Callithrix jacchus: one gene and its partners. Each later gene encodes a partner of the first gene's protein in a complex. Links are inferred from orthologs where the notes say so. Each region holds a gene or a part of one and is shown on either strand. Other genes may lie near its edges. The genes, in order: PRPF19, XAB2 and PPIE.

Region 1 (5,019 bases):
CTGGGTGGGCCTGACTCATTATTTGGTCTCTTTGTGTCTCCTCTAGGTGGGGCAGATAAAAATGTTGTTGTGTTTGACAAAAGTTCTGAACAAATCCTGGCTACCCTCAAAGGCCATACCAAGAAGGTCACCAGCGTGGTGTTTCACCCTTCCCAGGTAAGGGCTTCTCTTAGCCACCCTTGGTTCTTCTTTCCTTGGCTGCTGTTTGTCCCTGAGTCCCCTGCTGTCTTTGTGTGAACCGAGGCTGAGAAAGAGCTCTGACTCCTGAGACTGGGCACCTGGAGGGGCTTCACTTTGGAGTTCTGGAGATTGCTCTTAACTCTGCGTGAGACCTTCTAAAGCAGTGGTCTTTCAACCAGGGAGAGAAAGGAAATGTGTAGTCTGACAAGCATATTCACTTAAATGTTATATTAGGGAAAGAAAAAAATCCTATAGCGTTCATAATACAAACTACAGAAAACAACATTCAGCACAGTCTCGACTCACAGGTATGAGGAAGACAGATACATGTGCTTTCCCATGATCCTCCAAGAGATGTAAAAACCATGTTGGCTATTGAAAATGGTGTGGGTTGTCAACAGAAAGTCTGGTTTACAGAGTAAAGGAAACTCATGGGACCAGAAGAATGATATTATGGGATTCGAATTTTAAGCCCAAGACAGTTTGGGTTTAGGGCTGCAGGACGGTGGTTGGTTAGTGCTTCCCAGTCAAGCTCTCCCTTGGACTTTAGGGAAATGAGAAATGTAAGAATACCATGGTGAATTTTTCATGACTGAATGTATTCAAATCCAAAGCACTATTTTCTTGCTTATGGGATGTCAATAGTTATGTCTCATGAAATTGTATTGCTAAAAAAGATGGTAGTTATTTTTACCTCATGGTTTTTAATGTCCTAACTAAACAAAAAAATCGGTAAGTGACACGAAATTCTCTCCCTGCCCAAGTTTTTTGGAAAATTAACTTACGGTGGAAATCCATAAATGTGGGATGTGCTGAAATACCACTGTGCAGCCCCTTACAGTCCCAGTACTGCTCAGACCTGTGCCATGCAGTACAGTACCAGTTAGGTACATGTGGCTATTTAAATTTCAATGAAATAGAATAAAAAATTTAAACCCTCAATGGTACTAGCTACATGTTTCCTCCTCTGGTCCTGGAAATGGGGTGGGAAAATCGCTCTATGTTGCAGTTAGCCTTTTTACCACTAGATGGCGAGGCCTCCTACACAAGTCCTGATGCTGTATGAGTTACCATTTTAATAGCGTTTACCACTGGCTGTCTTGGGCACCATTGGGTGGGTAGGTGGTTCCAGGGAGGGCAGGGCTGAAAGGAGAAGCAGTTGTTGGTAGTTGTGGGCATCCCCAGCCCCCTTTTATAAGATTGTTAGGATCTATATCCTTTTTCTGACTGATACTCTCTGATATTTGTTTTCCTTTTAGGACCTGGTGTTTTCTGCTTCCCCCGATGCCACTATTAGGATTTGGTCGGTCCCCAATGCGTCTTGTGTACAGGTGGTTCGGGCCCATGAGAGTGCTGTGACCGGCCTCAGCCTTCATGCCACTGGTGACTATCTCCTGAGCTCCTCCGATGATCAGGTGCGGTCCCAGCCAGTGCCCTGGAGAGGCCTGCTGGTCCCCAAGCTTGAACATCCTGGGTGGCAGGAACATCTTCCCACCCCAGGTGGTTCCCCAGAACCTCAAAGGGGAATGTTTCCTCTGCTGGGAGGTGCTAGGTTTGCCAGGGTTTGCGAAACCAGGGGCTCTGCCTTCCTGAAGGGCCACCAAAGCCTAGGACCCACTCTCTCTCTGACTCCATCGTCTCTCTCTCTCTCTCTCTTTTTTTTTTTTCCAGTACTGGGCTTTCTCTGACATCCAAACAGGGCGTGTGCTTACCAAGGTGACAGATGAGACCTCCGGCTGCTGTAAGTTGCCTTGTAGACACTCAGCTTTTTGTTTGCTGTTTATCATTTATTTTTATGTTTTATTTAGTCATTTGCTTATTTGTTCTAAAGATACATTTACCACCAGCACCTGTCTAGTGCCAGGCTTTGTCCTGGGTGCACTGACGAATGTGAAGAACAAGGAACCTACCTTTGCTGCTCTTAGTCTCTCCCTGGTGGGCTCTAATCACAGGTCTGTCTTCCCTCTTCCACAGCTCTCACCTGTGCACAGTTCCACCCTGACGGACTCATCTTTGGAACGGGAACCATGGACTCTCAGATCAAGATCTGGGACTTGAAGGTAGGAGAACATGGTAGGCCTCCATCTGAGGCCCCGGGCTGGAGGGAGCGTCTGTGACAGTGCAGTGCTGATTGGGTGCTTGTGGCACCTGGCCTTGAGGGTGGAGAGACACTGGCTGTGCATGTGTGATATGATGGTGTGGTCTGGGTGGCATCCTGCTGGCTGTCCTTCCTGGAAGGACAGTGGTGGACATCTCAGGTAGGAGTTTGCTGAGCCCCATTTTCTTCCTCTCGTGATGTATGGGTGACATATTTTACTCCCCACCGCCACTGTAGGAACGAACCAATGTGGCCAACTTCCCTGGCCACTCGGGCCCCATCACCAGCATTGCCTTCTCTGAGAATGGTTACTACCTGGCGACAGCGGCTGATGACTCCTCTGTTAAGCTTTGGGATCTGCGCAAGCTTAAGAACTTTAAGACGTTGCAGCTGGATAGCAACTTCGAGGTGTGCCCCTCTCCCTCCCCAGCTTCCCATTGTGCCTCCTTATTTGTTGATTATTGAATTAATCTCATTGCTTCTGCTTATCTGCAATTGCCCCATAGTTTCTGTTCCCCTCGTGTGACCTTTCTGTTTCTAACAGGTAAAGTCACTGATCTTTGACCAGAGTGGTACCTACCTGGCCCTTGGGGGCACGGATGTCCAGATCTACATCTGCAAACAATGGACGGAGATTCTTCACTTTACAGGTAGAGGCTGGTCTCTAGGTGCCCAGGCCTGGAGGGAAGCCTCACTGGGTTAGGAATCTCTAAGGCTTGCATGAATTTACCTAAGCAGCTTTCGGTTACCACCTAAGGCAGAGCTTTATAGCTAAGGAAGCAGACTGAGACTGCATGGCAGTAAATGCTAGTACCAGCTCTGCCACTTCCATGCCTTGTGGCATTGGGCAGGTTGCTGGAGGAAGAGAAGACTCCTCCCTCTGAAGGTTTGCTAACTGAATCTGAAATAAATGGACATTAGACAGAGTGACAGGAGGAAAGCCATTTTAATTCTCTGTGCACGAGAGTCCCACAAAACATTAGACTTGCAGAGGGTCAGATGATTGAAGATCATACAGTCACATCCCTTAATGGGGATATGTTCTGAGAAATATCTTGTTAGGCCATTTCGCCATGTGCAACCATTATAGCGTGTACTTACACATACCTAGTGGTGTGGCCTACTACACACCAAGGCTAGTGCTATAACCTTAGTAGAGTCTATTATTGCTCCTAGGCTACAAACCTGTACAGTGTATTAAATGTACTGAATACAGTTATAACACAATGGTAAGTATTTGTGTATCTAAACAGATCTAAACATAGAAAAGGTTCAGTTAAAAATAAGGTATGAGAGATTGTTAAAAAATGGTGCACTGGGAAATGGTGCTTGCCATGAATGGAGCTTGCAGGACTGGAAGTGGCTTTCAGTGAGTGAGTGGTGAGTGAATGTGAAGGCCTAGGACATTACCATACACTGACTGCTGTAGACTTTGTAAACACAGTACACTTCGGTTCTACTAAGTTTATAAAACGCTTTTTCTTCAGTAATAAATTAGCCTTAGCTAACTTTTTTACTTTATAAACTTAAAAAATTGACTCTTGTAACAACATTTAGCTTAAAGCAAACATTGTACAGCTGTACAAAAATATTGTCTCTCTTTACATCCTTGTTCTATAAGCTTTTTTCTGTTTTCTAATATTTTTACTTTTTAATTTTTTCCTGTTAAAAACTAAGATACAAGCACACATTAGCCTAGGCCTACGGGTCAGGAACACCAGCTGTATTAGTCCGTTCTCACACTGTTATGAAGAACTGCCTGAGACTGGGTAATTTATAAGGGCGAGAGGCTTAATGACTCACAGTGACTGGGGAGGCCTCAGGAAGCTTCCAATCATGGTAGAAGGGAAAGCAGCAGCGGGAGAGACAAATGCTGAGCAAAGGGGGTAAAGTCCCTTATAAAATCATCAGATCTCTTGAGAACTCAGTATCCTGAGAGCAGCATGGGAGTAACCACCTCCACAATTCAATTACTTCCCACCGGGTTCCTCCCACAACATGTCGGGATTATGGGCACTACAATTCAACGTGAGCTTTGAGTGGGGGCACAGCCATATCACCAACATCACTGTCTTTACCTCCACATCTTGTCCCACTGGAAGGTCCCAGGGGGCACTAACACGCATAGACCTGTCATCTCCTTTGATGATGCCTTCTTCCTGGATACCTCTTGAAAGGGCCTGCCTGGTGCTGTTTTATAGTTAACTTTTTTTTGTAAGTAGAAAGAATATACTTAAAATAATGCCAAAAAGTACAGTATAGGTATACCTTGTCTTTTTGCACTCAGCTTTATTGTGCTTTGTGGATCCTTTGTTTTTTGTGAATGGAAGATTTTTGGCAGCCCTGCCCCAAGTGGGTCTGTCAGTGCCATTTTTCCAACAGTGTCTATTCACTTGGTGTCTGTGTGTCACATTTTGGTAATTCTCACAGCATTTCAAACTTTTTCGTGATACGTATCCGTTATGGTGATCTCTGATTAATGATCTTTGATGTTGCTATTGTAATTGTTTGGGGGGGGGCACCATGAACTGTGCCCATATAAGATGTTGGATTTCATTGATAAATGAAATGGGGTGTGTGTGTTCTGACCACTCCAGCCACCAGTTGTTCCCCATCTCTCTCCCTTTCAGACCTCCCTGTTGCCTTAGACACAACAGTATTGAAACTAGGCCAGTTAATAACCATATTATGGCCTCTAAGTGTAACAAGTGAAAGAAAAGAGTCCCATGTCTCTTACTTGA
Region 2 (5,425 bases), on another chromosome or scaffold:
TAATGCAGCTGCTGCCACAGGGTCTGTGAGGGCCCTGCCTCCCTGCCATCACCCCCAGCCCCCACCCAGGGGTGTTTCGCTGGCCCTGCTTGCTGGATTCTGCGTGGCATTTGTTACTGGCCCTCACCGGCATTTGGTGTGGGGCCAAATTCTACGTCCACCCTGAGCCAGTGATTCTGGGTTTCTCTTCTCTGAGGATCCCGTTGCCCCTTGGCATGGCCTGGGCATCTCAGATGCAAGGCCCACCACACAACCCAGGCTGGCACTGGCTGCCCAGCTTCTGCCCAGTCCCACATAGCTCGGCTCTCCCGCTTCATTCACTCCTCTCCAGCCCCATCACCTCTCCACAAAGTCCAAGCCAACAGACCAAGCCGCCCCATGTCCCCAGCTGCCTCCTGCCGACACAGCAGCCTGTGTGACCCAGTCCAAGCACAAATCTGATTATATCCCTTGATGCTTAAAACCCCTTAATAGCCTAGAGCCTGATAATGGCTTCCCAGGCTTAGGACTAAGGACCACGCCCTGGTGCTGGGCCGTGCAGGACGTCTGGCACCCAGCCCCCCTCCAGGCACAGAAGAGCCTTACTAATCAGTTTCCAGAGCTGGGCCAGAGCCTGCCTGACTCCAAGGCTCGCTCTGACAGTGGGTGCCACCCTGGGAGGTGGCAGATGCCTGGGACAACAGAAGGGCTCTGAGAGGCAGGGGCTAGTGAGACCTGGGCAGCCAGGGACGGGATCACCCTTCCACAGCCATAGAGTCTCAAGGAGGTTTCTGGGCAGGACCCACTCCAAGGCCCCAGGCAGCGGAGGGACTGGCTGCCCGAGTCCAGAACTGGCTCTGCCGGGTGGGGCTGGGTGGTGTCTGGCCTGGGGCCCGGCCGCCCCACCTCCCGCAACAGCCAATCCGGGCCCAGGGCCAGGCACTCCTGAGCTGCAATCCCTCGGGCACCTGGGCAGCAGGAAGGAGGCTCAGACCATGATGTACAAACACGGCTGTATTGGGGGAAGGGAGGAGGGATGGGTCAGTCTTCTTTCAGGCTCCCGAACACGGCAGCTGGCACGCTCTGCTGCTCTAGCCGGACCTCTGTGGAGGAGGTGGGAGCCAGTCACCCTCCGGGCAGTGTCCTATCCTGAGGCCCGCCCTGCCCTGCTCCCCGCCAGGCACTCACCGTTGGGCTCCAGGTCCATCTCGTCCTCGTCCTCATCCTCGCCCAGCTGGATTTCCTCGGGGTTGACCTGCTGCGCCAGCTCTGCCAGCTCCTCCCTGGAGGCGTCGCTCCTGGGGACAGAACAAGCTGCCTCAGTTCCCCACCCCAGGACCCCGTGGGGCTGTCCCTGTCTTGTCCCCTCCCAGGACCTGCCCTCACCTCACGAACAGGATCTTGCTCTGGGCGCGCAGGGGCTGGTCTCGCTCTGCCTCGGCTGCCAGCTGTTCTGCACGCTGCTCCAACAGCTTCATGTCATCCATGCCGCTCTGCCCAGGGGCCAGGTCGGACACTGTGGGGTGAAAGCAGGGGCAACGGTGCCATGGGGGCCCCTCCCACACATCAGATGCCAAGCTGTCCTGGTCCCCCAGGCAATGGCCCTGCCCTCAAGGAGGTTCCCATGAAGCCCCAGGGCTCCCAGATCCAAAAAGGAAGGCCAGGTCAGGCTGAGATGCCCCAGCCGGCCAAGGTGAGCGATGGCTGCGTGCTCACCAGTGCCCGTGGCGCTGCCGGAGACCTTGAGCATCTGCGAGGCCATGAAGTTGACCTGTGTGTTGTATGTGGCCTGCACACTCCGCCGGATGCGCAGCATCTCCTTGACGGTGTCCTCGTTGCCATGCCGGACCTCAAAGTCCTTCCATGTCTGCCAGAACGCCCCGGTCGTCTGTGTGGGGGGCAGGGCAGGGCAGGTGCTCATGAGCTGGCTGGCTCCACCGTAGCCCCCAACCCAAATACCTGTTCTCCCACAGCCCCCAGCCCTACCCGGGGGTCGCAGATCTGGGAGCAGAAGCTGTAGATGGCCCGGGCGCGGTCGATCTCCCCCAGCTTGCACTCCATGTCTGCGAACCGCAGGCACATCTCACGTGCATGCTCATCGGACAGCACCTGCGCACGACGACGGGTCGGTGGGGGGTGGTTAGGGAGGCCAGGAAAGGTGAGGCCACGGGGAGTGAGGCCGGGGAAAGAGCCTGGGGGAGTGAGGCCTCAGAGAGTGAGACTGCAGGGAGTGAGGCCGGAAAGGGAGGCCAGGAGTGAGGCCACAAGGAGTGAGGCCTTGGGGAGTAAGGCCAGGGTGGAGTGAGAACAGGTTGGGCTGAGGCCAGGGGAAGTGAGGCCTCAGGAGAGTGAGGCCTTGGGAAGTGAGGCCAGGGGGAGTGAAGCCAGGGAGGAGTGAGGCCTCAGGAAGTAAGGCCAGTGGGAGTGAGGCCACAGGGAATAAGGCCAGGGGGAGTGAGGTCGGGAATGAGGTGCCGGGAGTGAGGCCTCAGGAAGTGACGCTGGGTACTGAGGCTGGGAGTGAGCCAGGGAGTGAGGGGGGCAGTGAGACCTAGGGTTGGAGTGAGGCTGGTGGGAAGGAGCAGTCATGTGGGAGGGTTGGGGGGTGAGGCTGCAGGGAGTGAAATGAGGGGGGTGAGACAGGGAGGGGGAGTGAGGCTGGGAGGAGTGAAGCCTCTGGGCAGTGAGGCCACAGGGACTGAAGCCACGGGGGAGTGAGGCCAGGGCGGGGGAAGGAGTGAGGCTGGGAGGGAGTGAGGCCGGGGGGGAAGAGTGAGGCTGGAGTGAAGGAGTAAGGCCTGGGGCAGTGAGGTGGGGTGGAGTAAGATGGAGGGGGAGTGAAGCCAGTGGGAGGGAGTGAGGTGGGGGAGTAGCTGAGGAGGTGAGGCTTTGAGGGGTGAGGCGGTGGCAGGGGGAGTGAGAGGCTGTCGGGGGTTGAGGCCGGGGGGAGTGAGGCCGCAAGGAGTAAGGCTGGGAGGCCTTGAGGAATGAGGCTGGGGACCTGGGGGGTGAGGTCTGGGGGTGTGTGGCCAGGAGGGATGGAGGGGGAGTGAGGCCAAGTGGGGTAAGACGGGTGGCATGAGGCTGGGGGGAGTGAGGCTGAAAGGGGTGAGGCCAAGAATGAGCCTGGGAGTGAGGCCGTGGGAGGGGGAGTGAGGCCGTGGCGGGGAAGGGAGTGAGGTGGGGGGCAGTGAGCACAGAATGCACAGGCAGTGAGGCAGGGGGAGGGTGAGGCGAGGAGGGGGTGTGAGGCCTTGGGAAGTGAGATGGGGTGGGTGAGACCAGGAGGCGTGAGGCCTAGGGGAGTGAGGCCACCGGGGAGTGAGGCCATGGGGGATAGTGAGGCAGGGGCGGGGAGGAGTGAATCAGTGTGGGGGGTAGGGGAGTGAAGTGGGGAGGAGGAGTAAGGTGGGGAGGCAGTGGCCATGAGAGATGTAAGCAGGGGTGACGCTGAGGGGGAAGGAGTAAGGTCGGGGGAGTGAAGTGGGGGAGAAGAAAGTTCAGGGGAGTGAAGCCAAGGATGGGGAGGGGAAGTGAGGCCAAGATGGGGTGAGGCCAGGGGGAGGGGGTGAGGCCGGGGGAGGGGGTGAGGCCTTGGGGGGAGTTAGGCCAGGGGGAGGCAGTAAGGCTTGTGGGGGTAGTGAGGCCAGGGTAGGGGAGTAAAGAGGGAGGCTGGGGGGAGTGAGATGGTGGCAGTGAGTCAGGGGGTTGGGGGAAGGAGTGCTGCCTCTGGGAATGAGGCCAGGGGCAGAGGCTGAGAGTGAGGACGAAGGGAGTCAGGTGGGAGAAGTGAGGCTGGGAGGCCTCCGGGAGTTAGGCCTGGGTCAGGGAGTGAAGCGGGGGAGGAGTGAAGCAGTGAAGGAGAAGGGCTATTCTAGGGGAGTGAAGGGAGGAGAAAGCCAGAGGAGGGAGAGTAGCCAAGGGGCATGTGAGGCCTCAGACGCTGAGGCCGGGTGGTAAGGCCATGCAGGGGAGGCTGAGGTGAGTGAGGCAGAGGGCTGGGGGAGTGAGGCCGGGGTTGGGGAGTGAGGCCTTGGCGGGGAGGCTGGGGTGAGTGAGGCAGGGGGATGGGAGTGAGGCCAGGCTGGGGGTAGTGAGTCCATGGGGAATAAATGAGGGGGTAGGCTCGGGGGCTCCCAACCACACCACAGCTATTCCGGAAGGCCCCTCCCCAGCCCCTCCCACCAGCCCGGCCCCCTTCGATGGGCACCTCGATGGCCTTCTGGTAGATGCCTCGGGTGTGGGTGACTCCGTAGATCTCGGCCGCCCGCTTGATGTAGATGTTGAACATGTCGTACTGCTGCGCAGGCTCCACGGCCCTGGTGGCGCGCTCGTACACGGCCATGGCATGCCGGGCCAGGCCCCACTCCTCCTCCAGCTGCGCATACAACAGGTACAAGGCTGTGTGGGGCAGCGGGGAGAGGGGAGCGTGGTCGGCCGGGGCTAGTCAGAAACCTGGCCTGCCTGCCCACCGCACTCCCTCTGCCCGCCTCACTCTTGGCATATTTTGGTGGGCAGCCATCCAGAGCCTGTTCAAACAGGTCCCGTGCCCGCTCCAGCTTGCGGCCCCCATAGCGGGCGATGAATTTGGTCAGGTAGGTGCTCCAGATGTCCGACACATTGGGCCACTTGAACAGCGAGATGCCGCGCTCATACGCCTGTTGCCAGAGGGGGAGTCACACGTTAAGAGTCTGTAGGTAGAGACCACTGGGAAGCTGGGATGTCCTTGGGTCACACCTGTAGGGAGCCTGCCAGGGTCTCGCTCAGGCCCTTCCCTGTCCATGCCTCCCTGTGCCTAATGACATTTATGGGGGTCTTTGCTCTGCACAATCTCCCTCTGAGAATCAAAAGAACAGGGGTGCCATGAGACCTGTGAAGCAAAGTCTGGTCCCATAGGAGGTGACATTATGGGTGACGGTGGGTGGCTCCCCAGCTCCGCTGACACTGGCTGCCAGTCCCCAGGGAGAAGGCCACACCCCCCCAGGCAGATGGGCAGGCAGCAGCATGTAGGCGCATGTACGACCTCCCCATTTGTGTATCTGCGTAAAGCCCACACGATCCATAGAAACACACAAACATGACCACTCTGGCCTCGGGACAGGACCTCAATATGGAGACATGCGCCTTGGGACAGGACCTTGACAAGGAGACACGCAAGACACCCCATGGCCCCCCTACAGGCCATCTCCTAAACTGTGAGGCAGGCAGAGACCACACACATTGGCACCAACACCCTCCCCACGAGTCATGGGTGTACATGGAAGCAGGACCCTGTACCCCCACAAAACATTGGTATGCTGAAATCTTAACCCATAGTATCTCAGGAGGTAGACTCCTTTGAAGACGAGATCATTAACTTAAACTGAGGGCATTAGGGGCTGCCTAATTGGTTATGACTGATATCCTTTCAAGAAGAAAAAATTTTAAATTTTAAATTTAAGAATTT
Region 3 (5,671 bases), on another chromosome or scaffold:
TCACCTGGACAAGTGGATTGGAGGAACAGAGCCACTATCAACTCCTCCTCAGTTTGTGCCATTAACTCCTGGTCTCCAGGGTTCCAACCAATTCATTCTGGGCCTAGTGGTCAGAGCACTATTTAAAAGGACGTGACAATGTAACTCTCCTGTTGTAACTCAGCAGCTTCTCAAAGCCCCCAAATCTTCCAGGTGGCTTACAGCATCCTCATGATGTGGCCCTCTGCCCACCTTTGCCATGTGATTATCATGCCCTCCACCCCACCACCCCAGACTCTGGTCTTTTAGTCCCTTGAGTGTGCAGAAGTGGTCTCCTCCTCTCTCTGGCTCCTTTTCCTTCTGAATTCAGCTTAAATTTCACCTCAGGAAGGTCTTAACCCCCTGCTCTATCTAAAATAGGTGGTCCCATTATTTTCCTACCACCTGTAATTTATTTATTAGTGGGTTTAGTCCAAGATGCTCATCCAAACTGCACTATTTTGTAAGCTCCCTGCTATTTTGCAGACCTTGGTCAAAGTGAAACATTTTACAGGGGTTTGGGCTGTGAGAAACCTCCTGCCTCACCACCTGACCACAAGATGGACAAAGGCCCAACTACCAACTAAAGAAACATCCCGATCACATCTTGCTGGGCAAAGGCCCAAGGGACACCACGATGACATCCCACTGGAACAAGGGCCAAACATGCTCATGAGAACATCTTATCAATACCTTGCTGGGCAGCAAGCCATACTGCCCAGACCCCTCCCACCCATACCTATAAATTGTTCCAGCCTGTAAGCAGTGGTGGGCACTGGCATTAGGCTAGTTCCCCACTTCTGTAGGTTTTATGCTAGACATAAAGCCTGTGTTTGGTGTCGAGTCTCCCTCTGTGTGTGTGTGTGTGTGTGTGTGTGTGTGTGTGTGTGTGTTTATTTAACCCTTGCCTTCCCTTTAAAACCTAACACAAGAGTCAGCAAATGTTCTTCCTGAAGAGCCAGATGGTAAATATTACTGTAGGCTTTGCAGGCCATAGCTCTTCTGCCCTTGTAGCAGGAAAGCAGCCAAGTCATACTTACGGAAATAAGCGTGGCTGTATCCCCATAAAGCTTTCTTTATGGACAGTGAAATTTTAATTTCACATTAATTTTCATGTGCTAAAAAAAATATATATGTGTATATATGTATATATATGTGTGTGTATATATATATATATATATAGAGAGAGAGAGAGAGAGAGAGAAAGAGAGAGAGAGAGAGTTGGTGTTTCGCTCTTGTCACCAGGCTGGAGTGCAATGGTGCGTTCTCCACTCACTGCAACCTCCACCTCCTGGGTTCAAGCGATTCTCTAGCCTCAGTGTCCTGGGCAGCTGGGATTACAGGAGCCCGCCACCACGCCCAGCTAATTTTTGTATTTTTAGTATAGAGAGGATTTTACCATGTTGGCCAGGCTGGTCTCGAACTTCTGACCTCAAGTGATCCGCCCGCGTCAGCCTCCCAAAGTGCTGGGATTACAGGCGTGAGCCACCACGCCTGGGCAAGAAAATATTCTTAATTTTTTCCCAACGATTTCAAAGGTAAAAATCATTCTTAGCTCCTGGGTTGTCAAAAAAAAGACGCGCAGGATGACCACGCACCGTAGTTTATCGTTTGCCCAAAAGAGTCGGATTGATTTGGCCAAGGTTTGCCTGCCCCAACACCGTGAGCCCTGGGAAGCGCCAGGATCCCGTCCTCTTGTTCACCGTGGCGCACCGCAAGCTGTCCCGGATGCTTCCGGGCAGCGGGTTGCGGGTTGGACCAACGCCAGGGTGGGCGGGGTCTGAGAGGTGAGGGCTGCGGGGATGGGGCGGGGCCAAAGAGGGGCGGAACAGTGGGGAAGGGGGCGGGACAGTGGGGAAGGGGGCGGGTCGAGTGCCGGCTTCCGGCGGAAAAGGGCGCGAGCAAGATGGCCACTACCAAGCGCGTTTTGTACGTGGGTGAGCAGGCGGTGGCGCTAGCTGGAGTCTGGGCGAACGCGACCCCCAGAAGGTCGGGGCGTGGGGTGGGACATGTCTCTGAACCAGGAGGACGGCGAGCAACTGTCAAGGCTGGGTCTGGCGGTGGGCCCGGCGGTATAGCTCTGTCTCTAGTAGATGGTAGCAAACTAGAATGATCTTGGGAAAATGTATATTTGAAACCGTAACTTCTCTGCTTAAACTCCTTCAAAGGTTTCCCACTGTTCTCAGGAAAAAGTGCAAACTACTTAGCAGTAGCCACTTCTCCAGCTTCTTTGCTTTGCTTCCTAATTCCCTGGGTCTCCCGAAAAATGACCCATTTGCTCCTAAGTGTCAGGCTATTTCACGCCTTTGGACCTCTGCTTTTGCGAACTCCCTTGCAGTGAACAGCCTTGCCGCACACCTCAGGTGTGTGAACCCGAGACGGAATTCTGACTTGCTAGCCCGCTGAGCTCCAACGGGCCCCGAGGAGCGGTAGAGGAATATTAATGGTCCTCCAGATCCTCTTGTTAATTTGTTTTACAAACATCCAGTGCAGTGACGGCTCAGCCTCAGCCCCAGCGCCAGCCCCAGCCTAAGGGAAGGAGTTCCCAGACTAGCCAGAAAAGAAGTGGGAATTACCTCAGTAGCACACTTTTGATAAGTGCTGTAGTGGGGATGGACTATGATGATAGGGGCTTGGCTGCGGGACAAATGACCCATTCTTCTGGAGAAGTGAGGGCAAACTCTGGATGAGGTGATGCCAGAACTGATGAGCGGAAGTTAGCTACGTTACCAAAGCAGAAGCAAGGCTGTTCACTGCAAGGGATTCACAAAAGCAGAGGTCCAAAGGCGTGAAATAGCCTGACACTTGGGGGCAAGTGGGTTATTTTTCAGGTGACCTAGGGAATTGGGAAGCAAAGCAAAGAAGCTGGAGAGGTGGCTACCACTAAGGAGTTTGCACTTTATCCTGAGGACAGTGGGAAGTGTCTGAAGGAGTTTAAGCAAAGAAGTTACAGGTGCAAATCTGCATTTTCCTAAGATCATTCTAGTAGGCTTTGTGGAATTGGTAGAGGGAATGGAGGCAGGGAGGTCAGTCGTGAAGCTATTGCAGTAAACCGAGGACTAGATGATAATCTGAAAGCAGGGTGAAGAGAGGAATGTTTTCATAAGTATGGATGGGCAGAGATGAGAGGGGTGTGCGTATGTATGTGTGTGTGTACCCAAAGAACTGAATGGAAGGACCCTGTCCCCTGGCTAGCATGCTAACTGGGCTGCCAAGGACTTCTGCAAGAGTATGGAGATCAGTGGCTCAAAAGGCTCTTGACTTATTTGCAGGTGGACTGGCAGAGGAGGTGGACGACAAAGTTCTTCATGCTGCATTCATTCCTTTTGGAGACATCACAGATATTCAGATTCCTCTGGATTATGAAACAGGTGAGTTATTTTAGTGTCTCTCATGTTCAGAATCCTCCTATTAGGAAAAGGCCTTAAAAAAAATTAAAGTCACATCACAATTCTAAATATATATTCTAAATATGGTTAGTATACACTACAGTTAAGTTCATGAAGGTGCCTGGTGACAGTGATCTTGATGGAGAAGGAATGTTCTGAGGCCATGTGGTTGTGAAATTTAAATTCTTTTCAGAGTCTTCAGCTGTTGGGTTGAGATAAGACAGGTTTTTTGGTAGACCAGTAGGGAGATAGGTTTGAACTACATTGAGATTTGAATGTTGTTTTAATCTATCTGGATATTTGGTTCAATTCATTCACTTCAGAGGACAGTAAAGAAAAAAACATGAAAAAAAGAAAAATAATTAAAATTAATCTATCTGGATGGGTACCCTATCCCACCTGCTCCTTCTTGGCATCTGTGCTATTAAATGAGGCAGCAGGAAAGTCTAGCCCCATGATGGTGGGCGGGGGTGGGGTTCTTGGCCTCTGAATACCTGAGTGGGTTTCCCTTCAGTTGGTATCACAATTACAGTTCAGTTTTCTATTTTACCTTTGTTGTCATTTGTAGGATTGTAGTTTTAGGCCCAGTTTTATCATCAAACTTGCATATGATTGTTAGCAAGGTCTTTAAACTCTCTGGGCCTGAGGAATCTTTAATTTTAAAATGGGAAGGTTATATTGGCTTTCTAAGGGCCCTTCTAGCTCTGACTTCTATAATTAACGTTTTTGTGCTTAGCCTTTCTAGTTAGTTCAGCATTTTCCTGAGTATAAAGACTGAGCATCTTTATCAAGTTTTAGGATTCATGCTTTATGCACAGTTGATGCACAAAATGTATATTTGGATATATAATTGATGGGTCAAATGACTTGCTTTTTAAAATTAATTAATTATTCTTTTGAGATGGAGTCTTTCTCTGTTGCCAGGCTGGAGTGCAGTGGCGTGATCTCGGCTCACGCCGAGTCTCCTAGGTTCAAGCGATTCCCCTCCCTCAGCCTCCCGAGTAGCTGGGACTACAAGTGTGCACCACCGCACGCCTGGCTATTCTTTTTTTTTATTTTATTTTAATAGAGATGGGGTTTCACCGTGTTGGCCAGGATGGTCTCGATCTTCTGACCTTGTGATCCACCCATCTCGGCCTCCCAAAGTGCTGGGTTTACAGGCGTGAGCCACTGCACCTGGACATCTTTATTTTTCTAGTTGCCTTGCATGTAATAGTTAAGGTTTTAAGTTTGGCTTTGGTATAATAATACTTATTTTAAAGATTAAAAATACAGTTTGTTATTTAGCTATGTCCATTAAAAAAACAAAGTTTATTATTGCTTAAAGTATTGTTTAAGAAGAATCAAAGAATGAGATTCCTTCTTCTTAAATAGCTATTGGATAGAATTACAGGTGTTCAGATATGGCATGTAACTGACTTCACTTTGTGACCATCCTGTTTCTTCCCATTGCCCCACATAGTAATTACTTGTTTTTGTTTTCCATTTTGCAGAAAAGCACCGAGGATTTGCTTTTGTTGAATTCGAGTTGGCAGAGGTGAGAGTCTGTGTTACTAGTGTTTAGTCCTTGGTTTGTGGTGGTGGTACTGATTACAAAGGAAGCTTTTCACCATTTGATTAGGTTGTTGGGCCTTAAGCTGATACTGCCAGAGAGATCAGAAGTGTTTTTCTAAGAAAGGCTTCCCTCACATAATCAGACTGGACTGTGAATAACACATCAGACCTTCTTCCAGGCCCTTCCCTTCTTGCCCTGCAGTGGAGCTCCTACACCCCTGTTCATTGAGCATTCTTGCCTGGCAGCAGTGGTGATTATTTCTTGTGCCTTCAACTGGATGGCAGATTGTTGCACCACCAGCTCTAAAATCAGCCAGGAAGTGCTCTTTGTTAGAAACACACACAACCTAGGCAAGAAATGTAGAGGTGGCATTTTCCTAGATTTTTGCTTCTAAGTATGTTTAGACACCATAAGAAGCATTTGGCTGCAAGCCTAAACTTGTACCTTTGTCTTTTCTTTGCAGGATGCTGCAGCAGCTATCGACAACATGGTATGGCTAGGAATCTTTGTTATAGCCGAAATTGCTTTTTGGTGGTATAGAGGGTCCTTATTCATATATCAGTTTTCTGGACCTCCAAAGTTACAAGGTTGCAAGGGGAGGTAAAAATTCTCATGTGAAAATATTCATTGTGAATTGATCACTTATAAAATCAGTTCTTAGACTCCTTTCTCATTTAACAATAATGTAAGTCCTCATCATCCGTGTTGG

What was found.
Region 2: PRPF19 (region 1) and XAB2 share a complex: the UniProt entries of both Homo sapiens proteins name them as parts of the XAB2 complex. The link is inferred for Callithrix jacchus from reciprocal best matches to the Homo sapiens genes PRPF19 and XAB2.
Region 3: PRPF19 (region 1) and PPIE share a complex: the UniProt entries of both Homo sapiens proteins name them as parts of the XAB2 complex. The link is inferred for Callithrix jacchus from reciprocal best matches to the Homo sapiens genes PRPF19 and PPIE.

The regions. Positions count from the first base shown.
Region 1 is NC_133511.1:117,919,852-117,924,870, reverse strand, and holds part of PRPF19 (pre-mRNA-processing factor 19), read left to right. Parts: intron 1-46; coding exon 47-156; intron 157-1,439; coding exon 1,440-1,595; intron 1,596-1,851; coding exon 1,852-1,921; intron 1,922-2,154; coding exon 2,155-2,240; intron 2,241-2,515; coding exon 2,516-2,686; intron 2,687-2,822; coding exon 2,823-2,928; intron 2,929-5,019. UniProt on the Homo sapiens protein: Ubiquitin-protein ligase which is a core component of several complexes mainly involved pre-mRNA splicing and DNA repair. Required for pre-mRNA splicing as component of the spliceosome.
Region 2 is NC_133523.1:7,196,794-7,202,218, forward strand, and holds the end of XAB2 (pre-mRNA-splicing factor SYF1), read right to left. Parts: intron 4,638-5,425; coding exon 4,475-4,637; intron 4,381-4,474; coding exon 4,190-4,380; intron 2,089-4,189; coding exon 1,966-2,088; intron 1,868-1,965; coding exon 1,696-1,867; intron 1,496-1,695; coding exon 1,366-1,495; intron 1,278-1,365; coding exon 1,168-1,277; intron 1,083-1,167; coding exon 1,021-1,082; 3' UTR 976-1,020; downstream 1-975. UniProt on the Homo sapiens protein: Involved in pre-mRNA splicing as component of the spliceosome. Involved in transcription-coupled repair (TCR), transcription and pre-mRNA splicing.
Region 3 is NC_133508.1:76,290,535-76,296,205, forward strand, and holds the start of PPIE (peptidyl-prolyl cis-trans isomerase E), read left to right. Parts: upstream 1-1,905; 5' UTR 1,906-1,924; coding exon 1,925-1,955; intron 1,956-3,290; coding exon 3,291-3,389; intron 3,390-4,900; coding exon 4,901-4,944; intron 4,945-5,425; coding exon 5,426-5,452; intron 5,453-5,671. UniProt on the Homo sapiens protein: Involved in pre-mRNA splicing as component of the spliceosome. Combines RNA-binding and PPIase activities.